Tamandua tetradactyla: one gene and its partners. The protein of the gene in region 2 interacts with the protein of the main gene of each other region in a pairwise test. Links are inferred from orthologs where the notes say so. Each region holds a gene or a part of one and is shown on either strand. Other genes may lie near its edges.

What was found.
Region 1: the proteins of LITAF (region 2) and HIP1 interact in binary tests that used the Homo sapiens proteins (3 or more experiments, as listed by UniProt). The link is inferred for Tamandua tetradactyla from reciprocal best matches to the Homo sapiens genes LITAF and HIP1.
Region 3: the proteins of LITAF (region 2) and STAM2 interact in a two-hybrid assay, tested with the Homo sapiens proteins (4 studies listed by BioGRID and IntAct). The two-hybrid records come from large-scale screens. The link is inferred for Tamandua tetradactyla from reciprocal best matches to the Homo sapiens genes LITAF and STAM2.

Annotation. Positions count from the first base shown.
Region 1 is NC_135349.1:10,852,721-10,860,358, reverse strand, and holds the start of HIP1 (huntingtin-interacting protein 1), read right to left. Parts: upstream 3,009-7,638; 5' UTR 2,949-3,008; coding exon 2,829-2,948; intron 1-2,828. UniProt on the Homo sapiens protein: Plays a role in clathrin-mediated endocytosis and trafficking. Involved in regulating AMPA receptor trafficking in the central nervous system in an NMDA-dependent manner. Regulates presynaptic nerve terminal activity.
Region 2 is NC_135349.1:45,797,825-45,804,810, forward strand, and holds the start of LITAF (lipopolysaccharide-induced tumor necrosis factor-alpha factor), read left to right. Parts: upstream 1-3,889; 5' UTR 3,890-3,971; intron 3,972-4,061; exon of another isoform or gene 4,062-5,308; intron 5,309-6,986.
Region 3 is NC_135329.1:122,449,281-122,456,787, reverse strand, and holds the start of STAM2 (signal transducing adapter molecule 2), read left to right. Parts: upstream 1-4,499; 5' UTR 4,500-4,812; coding exon 4,813-4,852; intron 4,853-7,507.

The DNA of each region.
Region 1 (7,638 bases), about 35 Mb from region 2:
TGTGGGCCACGCAGAGAGAAAGATTTCGGGGCAAGGTATTAGCAAGCGCCAGGTGAGGGTACAAAATGTACTGTGGAGTTCAGAGGGGGAAGAGACTGATTTTGCCCCTCTCTCCATCTCAGCCCAGGGCTCCACCCTGCGTGTTTTTCTGCCTCCAGAAGTGTCCCCATTACCGAAAAGCCCCCTGTTCTCCTCGTGCTCCCGACCATTCCCCAGTCCCCCAGCCTGTACTCTATCCGCACTCTCAGCCCTATCACGTAGTAACAAACACTTCCGCTCCTCCCCTGAAGAGCTCAGCTGGCCTTGGCCAACACTTAAATTTCTGCTTTCTAAGGTCTCCTTACCCCTGGGACTGTAACAATATTATGCTACATTTGAATAGCACGCTCCAGTTCACAAAATGCCTTCTCGCATTTAATTTAATTCAATTCCCACAATAAATCTGCAAGGTTAAGTGTTGTCGGGACAATTAGGAAACTGAGGCTTAGAAAGGGGAGGCAGCTTGCCAAAGGCCACGTGGCCAACTCATCTGCCCAGGTGGAAACTCACAGGTTAAAGGTAGGGACTACTTCCAGCTGTAGCATGTGACTTGACCTCTTCTGTGCCTCAGTTTCCTCGGTGGTAATATGTGACTGATATCCACCGCATAGGTTTTTGTCAAGATTAAGTACAGTAATACAGCAAAGTACTTAGAAAAGTGCTAAACACAATAACTAAGTTATAATTATTACCTTAGCTGATTCTCATGGTCTCTAACTCGTTAAAAAAAATTTTGTAACTCAATTTTATATCGTATACATTTACTAGGTAGCCATTTAACAAAATGATCTTTTTGCAGATTGATTAATGCTGGGTTTTAGGAACATTCTTTTTTTTCTGTCTTCATTTTCCTACTCCCCTAAATAGTTTCAACAATAGAAAAGTTTCTTTTCTTCCTCCAGTCCACCTACACACACACACACACACACACACACACACACACAAGCACAGCATTAAGTCAAATCTGGACAAGTGCAATTGTTCTGCAGAATGTAAAATACTGGAAAACACTGACCTAGACTTTCCATGTCGGGCTGTCCCTGGACAGCCAGAGGACATGCCAGTCACGGATGGAAACTTTCACAAACCTACTTTCCACCACTGGAGCGGGTCAAAGTCCTGTGCATATTTCTGTATTGCTCCAGTTTTTTACTTATCTGAATCTATAGCAGGAATGGGTTGTTACGAAGTAGCCCCTGTTTATTTTTCGCTTTTCTTTAAAAAAAAAAAAAGGACAATCTACAGCGGTTTCCTGCAGCAAGAAGCGTCATGTAACCAGGCAACTAGCTCAGGCAGAGAAGCCCAAGATGCTGCCGGGTCAGGCACAGAAAACGTGCTGCTTTCCAGGGGTCCAGACCCCACAGCCAGAGAACCTGCCTCAAACCCAGCAGGGTTTGCGGAGGGCAGAAGGGAAAGGACACCTCTCTCTCTCTCCCCCTCTGGGGTAGGATGGCCCCAGGGGAGATGAGCCTTCCCATTTCACAGCACCCAGACACACCCCACCCGGGTGGGGCTACAGGCTGCTAGAATGAGAAGAGAAAGCCCCGGGGTGAAAAAAGCTTTATTCTTTACAAAATTCCACAGAGATAATGCTTCAATCAGGTCCATCCTCTTTTCTTAAACCCCAACACCCTTTCCCTAACTTTCTACTGTGTTTGGAGGAAAACAACCGCCTGTGCTGGCGAGCCCAGAGGGGGGCAGCGGGCACCCAACTGGATCTTCAAACGCTCCACTCTAAGCGCAAGCACGGGGAACAAATCTGCAAATAAAAGCCTGGCACTGGGATTGAAAGAAGTGCTGCACCCTTGTAAATGGATTTTTACATACAAATGAACTGATCAGCAGCATACACTTGCCGGCTTTCTTCAGTCAAATCGATACATCAGGCATTTAAAAACTCCGATGGAAAAATGGATTGTGGCTTTTTGTTGATGACACTGAGGAATTTTTGGCCCCAAGCCCTGGTCGGGCTGGACAAATAGGGCATCTGCCTGCTAGCTGCCAGGCGCATCTTAAGAGCCCTGAAACAAAACCCCAAGTCAGGGCTCGGGACACGGCCGGGCAGCTCATCCCAAGCAGCAGAGAGCGGCCCGGGGCACGCCAAGCGCCCCCATCTCTGCCCCCTGCCGGGTCCCCTCCTCCAACCCCGAGTCATTTTCCAAGCTGGGCCACGCTCCGCATTTCCTACATTCCTTCTCACCGCTCTTACCCCTGGGCCCCGACCTCGGAAGGCCGACAGCTGGGGGCGGTGAGGACCAGGCAAGGGGCGCGGAGGAACGGGTGCCAAGAGGTTGGAGGGGTGCTAGAGGTTTAGGGACATGGCAGTGCAACCGAGAAGCGGCGGATCCAGACGGGAGGAGAGGGCTCCCTTCCTTTCACCTCCCCACCCCCAATGCACCCCAAATAACATCCAATGCGTCCACCATGCCCTCTCCTAGGGCCCCTTTTCGGCTCCTGCCGCTCTCACCTCCCCTCGGGAACCCGCCGCTTTACCGGCCGGGTCCACTTCGCTTTGCCCCCGCCTCCCCCCCTCCCCCACCGGTGAGCCCCGTTTCGCGGAGTCCGTCCCTTCCCCTCCCACCCTTCCCGCCCCCGGGCAGCCGGGATGCCCCGGGGCACCCCCACCTTCCTCCGATCGCCTGGATCTGCGAACCAGACGCCGGCCCCCTCGCGGACCCCTGGCCCCGTCCTCTCCTGGGCCCACAAGACCCCTAATCTCTTCAAAGCCCCCTCCCGGACACAGTCTCTCGGGGTGCCCCGGTTCTGTCCCGGGGCGCCCAGGTCCTCACCTGAGTCCGCTCGAAGCTCTCCCGCTCGGCCGCCTCGAGCCCCGCGCCGACCCCGCGCCGGCTCAACACCTTGGGCAGCGGGTTAGGCACCTGTTTCATGGAGCTGGCCATCCGGTCCATGTCGCCGCGCGGAGCAGAGTCAGGGGCCGTCGGCCGCCCGGGGATCCCCGCGGGGCTGCCTGCCCCGCCCTACCCACCGGGATCCGGCGCTAACGGGACGGCTCCCGCCTCCCATTGGCTGGGAGCGCTGCTCCTCTCCCCCGAGGCCCCGCCCCTCGCCGGGAGGCTTCCCCGCCCGCCCAGCCTGCTCCGGAGCCCCTCGGCTCGCTGGGTCGGCTGGGTCCGCTGGGCGGCGCCCGATCGCGAGGCGCGCGCTGTGACCGGTCCACAGGCCTGTCCATCACCGCGGTCTCGCCGCGCCTGGCAGGGGCGGGGCGGCCGAAGGGGCGGGGCCTAGGGGCTACCCCGACCCGCCCTCGCACGCCCCTCCCCGCCGCGCACCGCCCGCTTTCCCCTCCCCTCCCCCTCCCCGCCCTTTCCCTCCGGGTCCCGAGCGCAGTTTCCCTCCGGAAAGCGCCCCTGGAGGCACTTAGAAGAACCAAGATCCTGAAGTGGGGGTCTGGGGGTCACGCCGGCTGGGGACTCGGGCCTTCCCCGGGGAGTCCGGGCCCGGCTGGGAATAGCCTGTTTACTCCTTTCGGGCCTGGAAGGACAGCCCCCCCCCCCCCCGGGAAGGGTCAGCTTCGGTCCAGGCCCCCACCCAGCTCCCAGTCCGTCCCTTTGGCTTCTTCCTCCATCCTGACCCTGCATCCCTGCGGTGCCCTCTGTCCTGATCGCAGACTCGAGGTCCGGGAGCGCCGGGCTGGGTCAGTGGGGACCTCCCGGCCCCTTCTTCCCTAACCTCTCATCATTTGGACCCGAACCAGAACTCACTTGTGGGTGGAAACTTTCCGTTTAATCCACGGCTCGGCGCCACCCCTCTCTCCTCCCCAGAGGCGTCAGCCAAGGTAGCCACAGCAGGAGAGAAGTGGGCTCCTTCGCGGAGATGCTGAGAAAGTTAGACGTTTTCCATGAAATTCTAATTTTGATGTTTTTGAAGATATTCTTTGTAACTCAAAGAATGCCCCCGGTAAGCATTAAACAGTCGGTGTATTTTTTTTCAAGTGTTTAAAACAACGTTTGGTAACAATTCACACACTCAGAGAAGGTGTGGGCGTTTGCGGGTACTAGGGAGTCCCTCAAGGTTTGCTGGCCTCTGAGGACACGGGGTGGGGGTGGGGGGTGTCAAGTGGAAGGAGTCCAGCAGCAGTTGAGAGACAATGAGGTCCTAAACTAGAATGGACAACAGAAAGCTTTGTCCCGTGGGAGGTTAGGTGAATAAGGTGTGGACAAAGGGGATGACAGGGGAAGGAAGCCGTGATTCCAGAATGTCTGTAGTGGCAGTGTGGTGGGAACGGATTGCCATGAGGCCAGGGAGATGGCATTGAGTCCAGGGTACAGTGGGGAAGCTGGCTGAGGAAGAGATGACTTCAGTATGGACAAAACAAAATCAAAGTGGCCAACTGGGTGGAAATAGAAGGGGCGAGGTAGGGGGGACAGGAGAAACAGAGGGGAAACAAGGCCAGGAGGGGAAGGGAGTAACAGGGGACTCAAAGATGATGTCTCAGCTAACTGTGCATTGTTAGGGGATGCAGACAATAGATGGGGGTGGGGTTTGGTAGATGTGAGGGTGTATCAGTCAGAGTTCTGGAAGGAAAGGATTACACACTCACTCAAAAGGAGAAAGTTTGATGGTGAAGCATTGAGAGGCTAGAACACTGAGGAGCTGTTGTCACCTCTAGACTTGGAGAGACCAGGGGAGGGAGCTCTACCTGAGCCAGCTGAGAGTCCTCATGGTGAGAGGAGACACCTGAATCTTAGGTAGAAAAACACAGCAATTAAGGAAAAACAGCTTGGTCTGCAGGGAGCTGGGGAATGAGTGTCCCAGTTTCTTTCTGTCCTTGGATTTTCTACTATTTCTTCCCATTGGCCAAATCCAACAGAAAGCCAGAGAGAGGGCAAGGACGAGGCAGTCAGCCTTGCCACTCCCCTCCTTCTAGGCACAGAGTGGGGTGGGAAAGAGTGGAGAGGGGGGTCTGGAGGGGCAGGTGGAGAGTTCCAGCACAGGAGGTTCACAGGAGATGTCCAGAAGGGAAAACAACCAAAGAAACAGACGAGCTTTGTAATAATATTACCTCTGGCTGCCCATGGCTTGTCTAGTCTCCTACCTGCCTTGTGCTCTAGATCAGGGTAAGGAATGATTTATGACCTTTTGCTCAGACTTTATGGCTTCAACAAACATGGGCCCTTTAAACAGGGATTAAAGGATCAGCCTAGTTTTTATTAGAATAAATCAGAGTAGGAATTCAGGAAATTTGTGGTTTGGAGGCACGGGGTAGAGAAAGACTCAAGGGAGTTATCTTCCTCTGTGAAATTCAGAGAAAAGTAAATGTAAGGCGTGCCCAACTGCTGCAGCAGCGAAACCCTTTACCAAGGGCTAAAGGGAACCCCCTTCCCAGGCCATAAACTATAGGACTTTGCTAGCTTCAGTCAGCTCTTACCTTCTCACCTAGGGACTTAAGAATCACTTGTTTCTGGACATGAAATCGTAATCTCTGGGGAGTGCCCAAAACCCACAGTGGGACGTGTCCTATCATGTACCTCTCCATAACTGGTGAAAAAGTTCCCACCCCACACCTAGTTTGGATATGGTGTAGCATCTAGTATGAGAAGATATACACTGATCACACTATTCCTCCGGGTTCCTGGAGCCCAGATACACATTTTTAATAGCTTTTATTGAGATATAATTGACGTTATTTAAACTGCATATATTTAAAGTGTACAATTTGGTGAGTTTTGACATATATATATATATACATTTGTAAAACCATCACCACAACCAAGATAATAATCATCCATCACCTGCTGAATTTCCTCGTGCCCCTTTATAATTTGTTCCTGTGCCTAGGGAACTACTGATCTGCTTTCTATAGCTGTAGATTAGTTTGCATTTTCTAGAATTTTCTATTAATGGAAGTATACAATACATCCTCTTTTTTGTTTGGCATTTTTACTCCGAGTAATTATTTTGGAATTCATGTATGTTGTTGCACGTATCAATATTTGTACCTTTTTACTGCTGAGTAGTGTTCATTGTATGGATAATCTACAATTGTTTATCCACTAGCCTGCTATTTGGGTTTGCTAAAGCTGCTAGAATGCAATATACCAGAAATGGACTGGTGTTTACAATGGTATTTATTAACTCAACAATTTACAGTTCTTAGGTCATGAAAACGTCCATGTCCCAATGAAGGCGTGCACAGGATGATATGTGGACTCTGAAGAAAGGCTGCCAGCATCCGGGACACTCTGTCACATGGAAAGGCACATGGCCGGAATCTGCTGGTCCTTCATTGCCAGGTTCCATTGCCTTCAGCCTCTGATTCCTGTGGCTTTCTCTCCGAGCATCTGTGGGTCCTCTCTTAGCTCCTCTGAGGCTTTACTCCCTAAGCTCTCCCTGGGTGTTTCTTTGAGTTTCTCTTGGTTTTTCTGTCTTTCATCCTCATAAAGGACTCCAGTAAAGGATTAAGAGCCTCCTTGAATGGGCTGGGTCACATCTCAATTGAAACAACCTCATCAAAAGGACCTTCCCTTCATAGGTCTGCACCCACAAGAATGGATTAAAAGAACATGACTTTTTCTGGGGTACATAACAGCTTCAAACTGCCACACCTGCTGTTGGAAATGTAGGTTGTTTCCAGGTGCTATGATTCCATGCTGCAATGCAGATGAACCGTGAAAACATTATGCTAAGCTAAAGGAGGCAGAAACAAAAGGTCATGTATTGTATCATTTCATTTATATGAAATAACCAGGATATGTGAATCCATGGAGACAGAATGCAAATTGGTGGTTGCTTGGGGCTAGAGGGAAGGGAGAATGGGAAGGAGCTGCTTAGTGGGTACAGGTTTTCCTTTTGGGGTGATGAAAATGTTTTGGAACTAGATAGAGGTGGTGGTTTCATAACTTTGTGAAGGTATCAAATGCACTGAACTGTTAATTTAAAAATGGTTAATTTTACTTTATGTCAATTCAGCTTCAATAAGAAAAATTAAAAGCAATTTAAAAGGTGGCTGTGAACATTTATGAATAAGATTTTGTATGTATATATGCTTTCATTTCTCTTGGGTAAATGCCTAGGGTGGTAATGTCTGGATTGTATGGCAAGTGTGTTTTTAACTTTTTAAGAAATCTCCAAACCGTTTTCCAAAGTGATTGTGCCATTACACATTCCCAGCATCAGTATGAGAATTCCAGTTGCTCCACATTCTTGTCAGCACTTGGTACGATCAGTCTTTTATTTTTAACCGGTCTAGTGAATGTGCAATGGTCATTCATTGGTGTTTATATTTGCAATTCCCTAATAACTCATGATGTTGGGCATCGTTCCATATGTTTATTTCACATCCCAAATTCTCTTTGCTGGAGTGTACACCTCAATATTTTGTCCATATTTTTAAAACTTTCTTTTTATGAAATAATATAGACTTCTAAAGAAAATTGCAAATATAATGCAAGGAGTTTCTTTATAACCTTCGCCCAGCCTCCCCTTATGTTGACATCTTATGTAACCACGGTAAAAATGATCAACACTAAGAAATTAACGTTGGTACAATGCTATTAACTGGATGACAAACTGTATTCAAATTTCACAGTTTTCCCACAAATGCTCTTTTTCTATTTTAGGAGCCAATCAGGATCCCAT
Region 2 (6,986 bases):
AAGATTTGAGACATACATACTTATATATATAAAAAAATCTGTTTATATGAAATTCATTAAAGTGAGAGTTCTGTATACTTATTGGCTAAATCTGGCATCCCTTCTTGCAGGCCCCTCTGAGCTCCCCGCCTTTCGGTTCCGTATTGGCAGCAGCAAGAACGCAGAGCTGCTCCAGCCAGGGCTGGGGGTGTGTGGGGGAGGGGGACTTCCTGGGCCTCAGTTTCCCCATTTTCATAACTCAGCAGTGAGAATCTCTGCTGCACAGAGAGGGTGAACCGTGGGAGGTGTGTGGGTGACATGTGTTTTGGAACTAAGAAGCTGTTATGGAAACATGAGTTACCTGAATTCATTGTTATGGGCAACACAGACCCTTCGTGGCGGCTGGTTCTGGCAACCTGGTGCCTTCCTTTTTTGAAAATTAATTTTTTTTTTTTTTAAACACAAGCAATTTGTGTTTGTTCTGGAAACATTAGAAAATGGAGAGTAGCAAAAAGAGAACGAAAAAAAATTCCCCACCTGATTTCCATCATTCAGAGATGACTATTTATGGCATTCTGTCTGCTGGAAAAAGTTGGAAAACTTTTTTCTAAGCGTGTGCCTTTGTATATAATTTTTTCTTTTTTTTTTTTGACAAAAAATGGGCTCATAGTCTGCATTATTTTAGGTAACCTGTCATTTCTGAAGTTTCAGAATATACCCAGAGGAAAAGTCTCTTCCTTTCTGTCTGGTCTGTGCGATTGCAGAGGTATCGTGTGTGGTGAGTCCACTTCCCAGGTCCCACCCCCACCCCCTCCTCACCCCAGGCACAACACAGATAAAAAAATCTTCACCGGGAGGCAAGATGCTCACAGTTTGTCCTGTAACCCTGCGTGGCCTGCGTGACACCTTCCCAGAGTCCTATATGAGTTAATACACTAGATGCCCGATTCTTTTTTTTTATAAACTTCACAAAACATGAAATTGACCATTTTAAGGATACATTTTTTTTTTGTATATTCAGAATGTTGTGCAACCATCACCACTAATTCCAGAATATTTTCATCACCTCCCCATATATGCCCCCCAAATCCATACCCCTTAGCAGTCACTCTCATTCTCTTGCAATTCCATAAGATCAGGTTTTCCATTTCTGCAAAAAAGGAAATTGGACACTGATTCATCAGTGATATCAAATATATGCACCATGCTAATGCAAAATGTTAATAACAGGAAAAGTTGTGTCTGTGTATGTATGGGGGGAACTTTCTGCTGATTTCTCTGTAAACTTACAACTGTTCTAAAAAGAAAAAAGGCGGTTGGAGTTTTGATAACAGAACTGGATTGTATCTGTAGGTCAACTTGAGGGAGATTTGCCATATTGACAATATTAAGCTTCCAAATCCATGAACACAGGACGTCTTTCCATTTATTTAGAGCTTTAATTTCTTTAAACATTTTGTAGTTTTCAGAGTCTGGCTTTGCGTGCCTTGGGTTAAATTAAACCCAAGACTTTATTCTTATTGAGGCTATTGTAAATAGGATTGTTTTCTTAATTTCATTTTCAGATTGTTCATTGCTACTGTATAGAAGCACAAACTGATTTTTGTATATTGATCTTGCATCCTGCAACTTTGCTTAACTCATTCATTAGCTCTAATCATTGTGTGGATGTGAATTTCTTAGGGTTTTTTCTATATAAGGTCATGTCATGCAAACACAGTTTTACTGCTTCTTTTTAAATCCAGGTGCTTTTTATTTAATTTTATTGCCTAACTGCTCTGGCTAGAACTTCCACTACAATGTTGAATAGGAGTGGCAAGAGTGGGCATCCTTGCTTTGTTCCTGATCTTAGAGGGAAAGCTTTTAGAGTTTAAGTACAAAGTATGAAGTTAGCTGTGGGTTTTCATAGATGCCCTTTATCAGTTTGAGGAAGTTCCCTTCTATTCCTGGTTTTGTTGAGTGTTTTTATCATGAAAGTGTTGTGGATTTTGTCAAAGGCTTTTTCTGCATCTATCGACAAGATCGCATAGCTGTTTTTACTTTTATGTCCTGCTTGTAACCCTTGGGTTGTAAACTCAATCTCAGTGGTTTTGGGAGATTAAAAAGAGTCACACTCTGACAGTTCTCACCATAGATAATTGTGAGCTCCCAGCCATGTTAAGTGTTTAGGATAGATGAAAAGAGAAAGCCAGCTCCTGTTGTGGCTCAGCAGTTGGGGGTAGAAAAATGAATGAAGATGTGGTAGCATTCCGGAAGCAAAAAACGAAATTCAAGTTGGTGGTTGCTTTTCTCTCTGCAGAATTTAAAAAAAAAAAAAAGAAAGAAAGAAATCAGGCAACTCCCAAGAATTCTTAGAGGGCTTTTTCTTGAACATTTTATTAGGGCATATTTTGTAGGGCCTGTGTCTCACTTGCCCTGGTCTGTGATATTTTGGTTTAATTTCTGGATAATCCATCTTTTTGCCTGTCACGAGTGCACTCTGAGAATGGAGAAGGGCAGCGGTTGGGCATAATCTGGCTTCCTTTATAACTGTAAAATAATAAATGGGTGCCTTCACTTAAGAACATCTACTTGATGACTCCCCAGGTGTGGGAGATCTTTGCAATCCCCTTCCTCCAATTTAGTAATATTTTCTGGGCTGATGGTAGCTGGGTTGAAATGGTGAAAGGTGGGGGGAGCTTTGGGCTGGGACAGAGGGGACAGTTTAGACCCAGCCCTGGCACCAGTTTGCTGTGGGACAGTGGGCAAGTCATTTTTCCTTTCTGCATCTCAGTGTCTTTCATATCTCAAGATCAAGGTAGGTGACTGTACAAGCTGAGGGGTCTCCCAACCAGGTCTCTGCATCCACCATGGGGCTCAGTTGCTCCCCATGGCCAAGACTCCGTGTACCCTAAAAGCCAGTGCACTCATCAATGCCCTATAAGACTTCCCAGAGGGCCAGTGGGACCAGGGCTCCTGTCCCTCCCGCAGCAGGTAGATGGGGCAGGGGGCAGCCCTTTAGGGGCAAGGGGTCTAGTGGAGGTTTTGAGGAGTTATTGATTTACAGAGCTTTCCGTGAAGGACTGAAAGTTCTTCCCAGGGGCCAAGGGACACCTGGGTGGGGACAAAGCAATAAAACAGCAGATGGGTTTTCCTTAACCCTTACCCTGGGCCAAATCTGCATCATCTGGGTTAATTCTGTAAGTAGATCTTAAGCCCTAGATGCTGTGACGGTGCCCATTTCACAGACAGGAGGCCAAGGCCCCGAGAGGGTGAGCGGCTCGCCCAAGTCCCAGGCGGTGTTTTGGGCTGCGCGAACGCTTATGAACGGACTGAACTGAATTACGCGTGGAAGATGGCCGGCTCCGCGGGCAGGGCGGACGCCAGCCCCGGACATGGGGCCTCAGGCTGGCGGGAGCGGGGTCTGAAGGTGGGGAGGGAATGTGGGAGATGGGGGCTGGGGGGTTGGGATGGGAAAGCATCAGGGGAGGGTGGGGTGTCCCGGGCACGGGGCAGAGCTGGACTTGCAGGGGCAGAATCCGAGAGGGGAGGCGCGAGGATGCGGCCGGGGTGGGGGTGGGGGAGCGGGGGCTCCGAGGTCAGCGCGTGGGGTCGGGGGTGTACCCTGGGGGTGTTCCGAGGGCAGTGGGCGATCGGAGGGGAGGAGGGCTCGGGGTCGAATCCGAAGGATCGGTGGACTCCGAGCCCGCCGGAAGCAGGTGGGGAGTGGGCGACGGCCTGGGGTAGGGGGAAAGCGGCCCCCGCGTCTCCCGCAGCGCGCGGAGGCGGGAGAGGCAGGAAACTGAGACCCCGAGGCAGCCGCCGGGCCCCGCCCACCCCGTCGGTCCCGCCCCTCCGGCTCGCCCCGCCCACCCCGCCGGGTCCCGCCCTTCCAGCTCGCCCACCCCACCCCTCCCGCCGGGCCCCGCCCCTCCCGCCGGGCCGTCCTCGGCGCCGCGTCCCGCCCGCGCGGCCAGCTCAGACCTCCCGGCTCGACTCCGGCGCTGGCGGCGGTGAGTGAGGCGCGCGGGGCTGCGGGGGCGCGAGTGGGGGCCCCGCGTTCAGGCGGCTGCGAATTGTGGGGGGCTCTGGGGCGCTAGCACCTGCTTGGGACTCCGGCCCGGGAGCTCCAGGGCATCACTTCCTTTCGGGGCAGGGGATCCGTGCGCGCCGGGGGGCGGTGGGCGCCCGCGGTGACCCCTTCTCTCGGAGTGGGCAGCTTTTCAGGAAAGTCGCCGTTCTCAGTAGTGGCCGCGGGACTCAGAATTGAGATTCCCCAGGATCATCACCTGGGGATTCAAAAACAAACACAAACCAGAATTTCTGGACACCGGTTCCCTCGAACCTTGAGGGTTCCGGGCGTCGGTTCTTCACCGGTGTCCCCGGGGTTCCACGCAGGATCCAGGACCGCCATCCACGGGTGCTTCTGTGGACACGCGAGGGCCTGGGGAGCCCCCAGCTAGGTGAAAGCTGCGGGCACAGCCCCTGGAGCGCGGGGTTCAGCCTCTCGCGGGTGGCCTAGCTCAGCCCCGGGCTGGTGCCGCGTAGATGTCGTGGGAAAGGCCCGGCCCCCGGGAGTTGGTGTCAGTGGGTGGACATCGCCTGTCCCTAAGCCGAGCAAGTCCTGTCCACCCTCCGGTTTCCAGAGCTCCGCGGATCTGGGCGGTGGGGCGGGTATTCCCGCAGCTCGGGGCCAGGGCCGGGGAGAGAGGGGACGGGGAAGTGAATGTGCCGTGAAGGACTGTGCATTCCAGGGATCAGTCACTTGGACCGTCTCCGGTTCTCTTAGGGATTGTGCTTCCGGATGATGTCATTGGCTGTTGGACTGAGCTTTGGTTGTTGAGAAATTCAGTTTCTGGAAGGCACCGGGCCTCCCTTCCACCAGTCTTCCCAAAGGAAATTCCTCCCTTCGGCCTCAGTGAGCTGATGTTGGTTCAAGAGCTGCCTGGGACCCGGATTTGGATGCAACAGTTCCCCCTGGGTTCCTTTTCAGGAAACTCACGATTGGCACCTGTGTGCATAGCTGCCCCACCTGCCCTCCTACCTCGATCCCCAGCCTGCTCGATGGCTGTTTTAAAATCAGATTGACCCAGATGATGAGTACAGAGAGGTACAAGCTGATATCTGGGACATCAGCATGGTGTTTGGTTTTATCATAATTGGATCAGGATCCAGAGGGCGTGTGACTCACTCTTCCTGGCATAGAATAATTCCTGTGCTGCCCTCCTCTCAGCGAGCCTTTGCTCTGGGACCTGAATGTGCATCACACTCTTAAGTAACGTTTATGGTAGAGCCACTATGGGAGAGGCCGATCTTTCCTCTTCCCTGTTACTCTATGACATTAATAATAGATGCTTTTATTCACATTTGCAGAAAGTATCCTTGTTGAGTGTTTTTGTGGATTAATTGACTCAGTAATTGATCTAAAACGAAAACTCAATTTCTTAAGTCTCTAAAATACTAGATTGAAGTCATTTGCTGGCTTTGATGAGTAAATTTCCCTTTGTTCCTTCAGCCGCTCTTATGGGTTGACTGTGGGGAAATCTTGCACTGTATTTGCCCTGGAGAGGATGCAGAAGAAATGGCTCCTGGTCCTGAGGGGCTTATGCTGTGTGTGGAAAGTGGAAACACAGGCACAAGTGAAAAAGCTGGTGCTTGTGCTCACAAATGCTCTTGTAACTCTGGAGGGAGATTGAGAGGAGGGAAAAGGCTGCTCTGAGCACAGGGCCAGGTTAACGAGGGGGAGCTTCATGGAAAAGATGATCCTTCAGCAAAATCTGGCAGTGGGGATGTGGTGGGCAGCATTCTAGAGGGGCAGAAGAATCTCGGCACAGCTGCAGAGGAGGCACAGGCAAGCCCTGGGGCTGGGGTCAGTAAAAGGGGAACCAACTGAGGTGAAAGGAACTAGGAAGCATTTCCAGCTGAAATTAATCTTCCAGAAGATACTTGGCACCTGCTTTGCTTCCACTGCCATCCCTGCTGATTGATGGGTGGGTAATTTGGTGCCCATCCGAAGATGAATCTCCCCAGAGCTTACCGTGAGGGTGGAAAAGTGGGGATCCACAGCCCATACGAGGAAGTACTAGAGGCCTGTCACTCTGACTTGTCCTCTGTTTACTTTTGCTTTTACTGCTGTGAAAACAGCCCAGTGGGCGAGGCAGCTTGAGGTCGCCACCTATCGCCTGCTCTGTACAGGATTGGTGTTTCCTTTCCTTGGAATGGTTCTGTGGTGTCAGGTGGAACTTTCCCGGGTCCTCACAATCTCATCTCCTTGTTCGAGCTAGCGTTAACGCTCTGGACAGACGTGATAACACCTTTGTAGCTAACAGAGTTGTCCCTTGGCCACAGGTGTCTACCTCAGTGGGAAAAAAACTGTAATTTTACAGGGTTTAAGGGACTGACAGAAGAAAGGAAGTATCTATGGCAGGTGTCAGCGCTGTTGTGATTCCCCGCTCACCTCCTAGCAGGTAGGAAGTTACTACACCTGCATCCTAAGCCCAGAGCACTTTCTTTTTTGTCGGTCTTAACTTCAGAGAAAATAAGGGTGCAGAAGTTAAGCTATTCAGCTCACGGAGCTTTAGAATTGAGTGTTTCTTGAGACAGTCTAAAATTAAAAGTAAATTTGAGTGCTTAGCATTGACTTGGCTAGTGCAGTGAGGTTATTTGTTGATGATGTACTGCTATTTTTTTAATTAATTAAAAAAAATTTTTAAATACCAAAAAAACCACCAAATGCAAACATTCGTAACTTTTGATCATTCTGTTCTTCATATATAATCAGTAACTCACAATATCATCACATAGTTGCATATTCATCATCATGATCATTTCTTGGAACATTTGCATCTATTCAGAAAAAGAAATAAAAAGAAAACAGAAAAGAATTCGTACATACCATTACCCCCACCCCTCCCCCTCACCGATCACCAGCATTTCACTCTAAATATTTTAACATTTGTTCCCCCTATTATTCATCTTTATTCCATATGTTTTACTCGTCTGTTGATAAGGTAGATAGAAGGAGCATC
Region 3 (7,507 bases), on a different chromosome or scaffold from region 2:
TGTTTTACATTTGAAGTCTAATTTGTTGGATATTAGTATAGCCACTCCTGCTCTTTTCTGGTTGTTATTTGCATGAAATATCTTTTCCCAACCTTTCACTTTCAACCTATATTTATCTTTGGGTCTAAGATGTGTTTCCTGTAGACAGCATATAGAAGGATCCTGTCTTTTAATCCATGTCTTTTGATTGGGGAATTCAGTCCATTAACATTTAGAGTTATTACTGTTTGGATAATATTTTCCTCTACCATTTTGCCTTTTGTATTATATATATCATATCTGACTTTCCTTCTTTCTACACTTTTCTCCATGCCTCTCTCTTCTGTCTTTTTGTATCTGACTCTAGTGCTTCCTTTAGTATTTCTTGCAGAGCTCGTCTCTTGGTCACAAATTCTCTTAGTGACTTTTTGTCTGAGAATGTTTTAATTTCTCCCTCATTTTTGAAGGACAATTTTGCTGGATATAGGAGTCTTGGCTGGCAGTTTTTCTCTTTTAGTAACTTAAATATATCATCCCACTGTCTTCTAGCTTCCATGGTTTCTGCTGAGAAATCTACACATAGTCTTATTGGGTTTCCCTTGTATGTGATGGATTGCTTCTCTCTCGCTGCTTTCAAGATCCTCTCTTTCTCTTTGACCTCTGACATTCTAACTAGTAAGTGTCTTGGGGAACGCCTATTTGTGTCTAATCTCTTTGGGGTGCGCTGCACTTCTTGGATCTGTAATTTTAGGTCTTTCATAAGAGTTGGGAAATTTTCAGTGATAATTTCTTCCATTAGTTTTTCTCCTCCTTTTCCCTTCTCTTCTCCTTCTGGGACACCCACTACACGTATATTTGTACGGTTCACATTGTCTTTGAATTCCCTGATACCTTGTTCAAATTTTTCCATTCTTTTCCCTATAGTTTCTGTTTCTTTTTGGAATTCAGATGTTTCATCCTCCAAATCACTAATTCTATCTTCTGTCTCTTTAAATCTGTCATTGTAGGTATCCATTGTTTTTTCCATCTTTTCTACTTTATGTTTCACTTCCATAAGTTTTGTGATTTGTTTTTTCAGTTTTTCTATTTCTTCTTTATGTTCAGCCCATGTCTTCTTCATGTCCTCCCTCAATTTATTGATTTCGTTTTTGAAGAGGTTTTCCATTTCTGTTCGTATATTCAGCATTAGTTGTTTCAGCTCCTGTATCTCATTTGAACTATTGGTTTGTTTGTTTGACTGGGCCATATGTTCAATTTTCTGAGCGTGATCCGTTATCTTCTGCTGGCGTCTGGGCATTTAGTCAGATTTCCCTGGGTGTTCGACCCCACAGGTTGAAAGATTTTTCTGTGCAATCTCTGGGTTCTGTTTTTCTTATCCTGCCCAGTAGGTGGCGCTCGTGGCACACGTTTGTCTACGGGTTACAGCAGTGAAAGTTGCTGTGGGTCCTTTAACTCTGGAAAATTCTCGCCGTAGGGGAGGTTCGGCAGCCGAAGCGTCTTGGAAGAGTGCCAGCCGGCCTGGGGTTCCGAATGCGGGGAGGGTCGCCGGCCACCGCAGCACGGGAGAGCGTCTGGCCGAATTAGCTAGTCGGCCCGGGGCGCCAAGCGTGGCGGGAGGGCGCCAGCTGTCGCAGCCCGGGAGAGTGCACTGTTCCCAGCCGGACGGGGGAGTCACGTGTTTGGAAGGGATCCCCCGGTCACTGTTCACAGCAGCCTGGGGATTTCCGACCCAACTCTCTGTTGGTCCGGGGGGCCTCGTGTGGTGGGGGCACCAGCCGCCGCGGCCTAAGGGGACCGCCTGTCCAATTCTACCAGCTGGCCTGGGAAGGTGGAAGGGAGGGACTCCGGTCGCTTGCCGTCCCACCCAGGAAAGCCCGTGCCCCTTGGTGATCTCACCGGAGCTGGTTCTCCCAGATAGTCAGCCGTTCCAGGATGGGGTACGCTGTCCCTTTGATCTCCCTCGTGGCTCCGGGAGCTGCTCTGTATTATCTCCACTCCCCCAGTAGCTGTTCTGGAGGAGGAAAGGTGAGGGTGGCAAAGCTGTCGAGGCTGGTGGTGGAGGAGCTGGTGAAGGTGGAAGAGGGGAGAGGAGGGCAGGCGGGTCTGCTGCTGCGGGGCGTGGGCACCACGCGGCGGGCCGGCGGACAAAAGAGGGGAGAGGAGGGCGGGCGGGTCCGCTGCTGCCGGGCGTGGGCGCCGCGCGGTCCTTTTACTTTTCTGTAGCTCATTTTTTAAAAAACCTGGTTAACAATTAAATTCTCTGTTCAATTTAGTGTTGTTTCTGTCTTCTGGCTGGATCCTGACTAATAAAGACCCTAATCATGTTGATATTCCAAAGAAGAAACATCAATGTGACTATATCTCAATAAAATTGCAAAAGAAAAAGAACAGATACAGTGAGGAATCTCTGGCAAGCCCCAGTGGTACAGAGAAGGGCAAAAAACCCGTAAGGATCAGATGAATTTACTAATGTGGACTTAGTGTCCACAGCTTGCTCTGAAAGACAACAATGAGAGGAAATCCTCAGACGTACATTTGGTCATCAGCTTGGTATAGGTATGTGGGGAAGGTGGCCCGAGGGAAGGAAATCATCAATTTGAAGTGTAAACCCAAATTAATAAAGAAAACTTTAAAGAGGCTGGATTTATCTGAAATTGGTAAGATTATTTTGCATTTGTCATCAGGGAGACAGAGACTCAAAAAAGATGGTATTATAGAAAGATGAAAATGCATCTCTTTGCACACCAGAATTTGTGGGTTAAAACCAACATATTAGATTCATTCATTAGATGAAGTAACTTCATTAGATGAAGTAACAATGAACAATATTTGTTTTTTCTTGTTTTTAACATAGGGTCTAGCTCCTAGTGACTATTCAAAATTTGTCGTTTGAATGAACTCATCAAGAACTGAGTACATACATCTAAAGGTAAACACCTATAGATTTTTGGGTGTACTTGCTATTATGGAGCAGGAGGAGCTAAAGAAGTCACTTTAAAATGTGAATGCTTTCCAAAGGCTAATCCTCAACCTCTGCTCTTAGCTCAATACAACTCTCTGACAAAATCTCCTCTCAGGGTTTTCAAGTGCTGCAATAACCTCCTAAATTGTTCCGTCTGGGTCTGTTTCTTTATATCCATCATGAACACTGATGTCAAATTAATATTCCAGAAACTGTTTTATTATACTACTCTGCTTCTCAAAATCCTTAATGTGCTAAAATTGAAATTTCTTAGTTTGCTCTTTAAGGCTCTTCTCTGTTTCCTCCTACCTTTATCTACCCGTTTTCTTTTCCAATACTGAGCCTTAACTCTAGACAAACCCACCCAGAAAGGCTCCAAATATCTTGTACCTCCTAGGTTCAGTGGCTTTTGAAAACCAGCCCCTTCATCTGCAGATATTCCCTTCTCATTTCTACACCTATCTTTAAAATAAAAAAATGCCGCTATCTTTCTGAATTATTACATGTGTAAGGCTTCTCTCTTCTATAATACCATCTCTATACCTAGAGGTTGTAAAACGATTTTATTTGTTCCACTGTTTAAAATGTTGAAATAGTTCTACTAGAAGTGCTAATATTATGGGCCCATATTTCAACAAACGGCTGAAGCTTACTAACAGTTGCAGTCTTTAGGTATAAGCGCTGTTCAGTTTGATAGTACAAAAGCATTCATTGAGCACCTATTGTCACTTTTAAACGCTATGGATACAGCATAAATAAAACTGATCATGGTGTTTATATTTTAACCAGGAAAGACAGACAAATAAATGATATATTACGAAGAGTTAAATACCATGGGAAAAAATTAAACAGGGTTGAGAGGAAAGGACAATGTGTGTTTGGGAAAGATTCTTGCACTTACACATCCATTTTTAAACTGGCTGGCTGCTATGGGAATCTGAGTTTGTGACTCCTACTGTATATCAGGATCTTCCCTATGCTGTCATGTATGAATAACTGCTCCTATAAAACCGTCAGCAATTCTTGAAGGCAGGGACTGGGCTTCATTCGTTCTTGTATTCCAAGAACCGAGCAATGTTTTCATGGCGAGAACACTATGGAAGGCGAAATTAGGACGTCTTACAGATATAGTTTCTTGTACTACTGTTTTCCGGGTGTCTTTTTTTTTTTTTCTACTGCCGGGGTCAAGTGCAAAAGAGGATACAACACCGAAAGCGCCCGGGAGCTGAGCCAGGCCATTCCCAGACTGTCAAAGCCACCTGTGTGTCGGCGGCTCCGTTTCCAAGGCAACAACACTGTGACAGAAACGTAGTTGCGGGCCCACGACTGCAAGGGACTGGTTCAGGAACTAACCTGACACAGAAATAGGAACGCGGCGTCTAAGCCGGTTGCCCTGAGCAGAAAACCCAGGATTGCCCGGACTCTGCCGAATTGCCACCGATTCAATAGCTTCCGGGCCTCCGGCGTTGCCCGGTTCTAGGCGCGACAACTTCCGGCGCCGAAGGTCCCCGCTCCGTGGCTCGGCGGGGTCCTAACGATGGAAAGGTGGCCAGGGCGGCCGCCTGAACCATGAGGGAAGCTGGGAACACGGCTGCCACGTTGTCCCGGCGCGCGGCGGCGAAAGGGCCACCGGGAGGATGTCCGCGGCTGGAAAGACTTTGACCCGGGAGGCTACCTCGCGGCTGGCCGCGGGGCGGAGCGTGGACCGGGAGTCTGCCCGTCAGGCGGGAGCCGGGCAGGTGCGGTGGCGCAAATGCTAGGACTGTGGCCCGAGCTCAGCGGGTAGGAAGCCGCGGCCCGGGGTCACCAAGCAGGGATTAGTTGCGGAGCCTCAGCCAGACTCCAGCGACTAGGGCTCGGGTGCTGGCGACATGCCTCTTTTCACCGCTAACCCTTTCGAGCAGGACGTTGGTGAGTGGCGCCGGGCTGTCTGTCCAACTAGAAAGTGGGAGGCGGCGGGTTTAAGGATTAGGAAGTCTAGCTGAAGGAGAGAAGGGGCGGTGCCGCCGCCTGGGCGCCCGTGTTTTTTAGGGGGTATCCTGCGCGCGTCGCCAGCGGTTTAGAGGATGTCTCCTACTTTTCTGAGGTCGAGGACCCAAAGACTATCGTTCGCCACGCCAAGCTCCGGAATCGGAGGAGCGTGGGGGCTCGCTGGAGGCTGGACTAATTAAGCTATTGCGGAGTTGGTGATAGAAACTTCCTGCTCTCCCTCTCCTGGCTATTGAGCCCCGCCGCCCTCCTTTTAGGGCGATGATGCTGTAGTGGGGACCCTACTGTCTAGGGCAACCCTAGAGACCTTGATTCACCCCGTTATGTAGGGAAAATTCATCTAACGTTGCTTATATACAAATACATCCAGTTCCTGATGGTGCAGCCTCAGGATTTGTTTACAGTTGGAGGTGTTACTCTTGAATCTCAAATGGCGCAGGTGTTACGAGATGTTTTCTGTCTCAAGAGTATGAAAAGGAAAGTGCCAACCCGAGGATCTCAAAACAGTTCAAAACAGCTAATATTTACTTGTTGGGTCGTAAGAGTATTTGCCTCTCAGTGACAGTGGAATGAGAAAAGGAAGGATGAAACGTAGAGACTTATTTTGAGCTTTGGAATAACAGTAAAACAAACTAAGAAAACATTTCGTAGCAATAGTTAACTCTAGGTAGAGTTTTAGGCCTTGGTGGAATAAAAAGCATAGCTGAAAATTGCCTTAGTCTCGCAGGCAGCAGCAAGCCACCTGTTTCATAGTTACATTTTTCTAATTATGAGAAGACTCTAGAAAGTTCCTTCTTTTGATATATTATGTGAAGCTATAGGTGTATTCAAAAGTCATATATGTGAGAGTCAAATAAGACGAATGTTATAAGCCTCTTCTATTCCTAGAGAGCTGAAATATTTATATCTTGACCCTCAGATAGTATTCAGGTGGGCATGTTCCTTATTTCATTAAACTTTTTTCTTGATAATGGAACACAGTGCCTGACATAAATCTGGGAAACAGCATGTTGAAGTGCACTGTTTCTGCTTTTGGAATACCTAATGGTTTCTTTGTTGCAACTGTTTTACCTTTGTGAGAATTGTACTTTTTGTTTTTTCCTTAGTTTTTTTTTGAGTTGTACTTTTCAATGAGAAAGACTTTTATTTTGTTCCAATGAAATAAAATAGAAAGGGTGAAATAGAATAAGTAAAATGATCTTAAAATGTAAAAATGGTGGAATTATTTCTTCAAGGGAAATCCTTCCCAGAAGCCCAATGTTTTTGTGATTGAAAACTTCCCTGGTCTAAGTAGGCTGAGGAACTCTGCCTGTTTGCTCTCTAAATCTTACCTTCTGTGGTTCCTGAGGCCCTCCACATGGTTTAGTGGAATATAGTTTAGTAAAAGAGGCACTGTTGTTGGGACCAAAAACTCTGCGGTATATAAATTTTTTTCACAGGAGTGCCATCAGCAGAAGCCTCAAGTGCTTAATTGTTAGCTCAAGTATGACTGAATGAAAGAACATGTTTGATTGAGGCCCACCTGTAACTTTTAGTCAAGTGCAGGGAGTTAATAACAAAAGTGGAATGATATACTAAAGATTTCAGATTAGCCTTTAAACCTGTATCATAACAGAAGAATTCTATTTTACATTTTTCAGATCTTAAAAGCGCCTTTTAATTTGAAATAATACAAAGCAAGTCATTATTTATGACTTGAGATGTCTACAGGAGTGTTCCCTCACAGTCTTTGTTATTGTCTTTTTCACCTGCTCTGTTTCTTCTTGCTGTACATTTGTTCACTGCTCATTCAACAAACATGCACCAAAAGATACTCTGTCAAGCATCGTGTTAAGTTCTGGGGACAGGAAGTTGAATAAATAGATTGAGAGTTTCTGCCCTCAAAGAACTTAATCTAATAGAGGACACATATGAAAAGAACATTAAAAAACCCATGCCTAGCTGGTCTCTTGGTCACAAATTCTCTCAGTGATTTTTTGTCTGAAAATGTTTTAATTTCTCCCTCATTTTTGAAGGACAATTTTTCTGGATATAGAATTCTTGGTTGGCATTAAGCAGATAGCACCTTGTTCAAGATGTAGCGGAGAGGCTGGAGGGAACTGCCTGAAAATGTAGAGCTGTGTTCCAGTAGCCATGTTTCTTGATGATGATTGAACAATGATATAGCTTTCACAGTGAGACTCTGTGAATGTGAAAACCTTGTGTCTGATGCTCCTTTTAGCTACTATATCAACAGAAGAGTAGAACATATGGAATAAAAATAAATAATAGGGGGAACAAATGTTAAAATAAATTTAGTTTGAAATGCTAGTGGTAAATGAAAGCGAGGGCTAAGGAGTATGGTATGTATAATCTTTTTTTTTCTCTTATTTTATTTCTTTTTCTGTTGTCTTTTTATTTCTTTTTCTAAATCGATGCAAATGTTCTAAGAAATGATGAATATGCAACTAGGTAATGATATTAAGAATTACTGATTGTATATGTAGAATAGATATCTTAATGTTTTGCATGTTAATTTTTTTAATTAATAAAAAAGTTAAAAAAAACCATGCCTATAATATGTATATGTAGTAAATG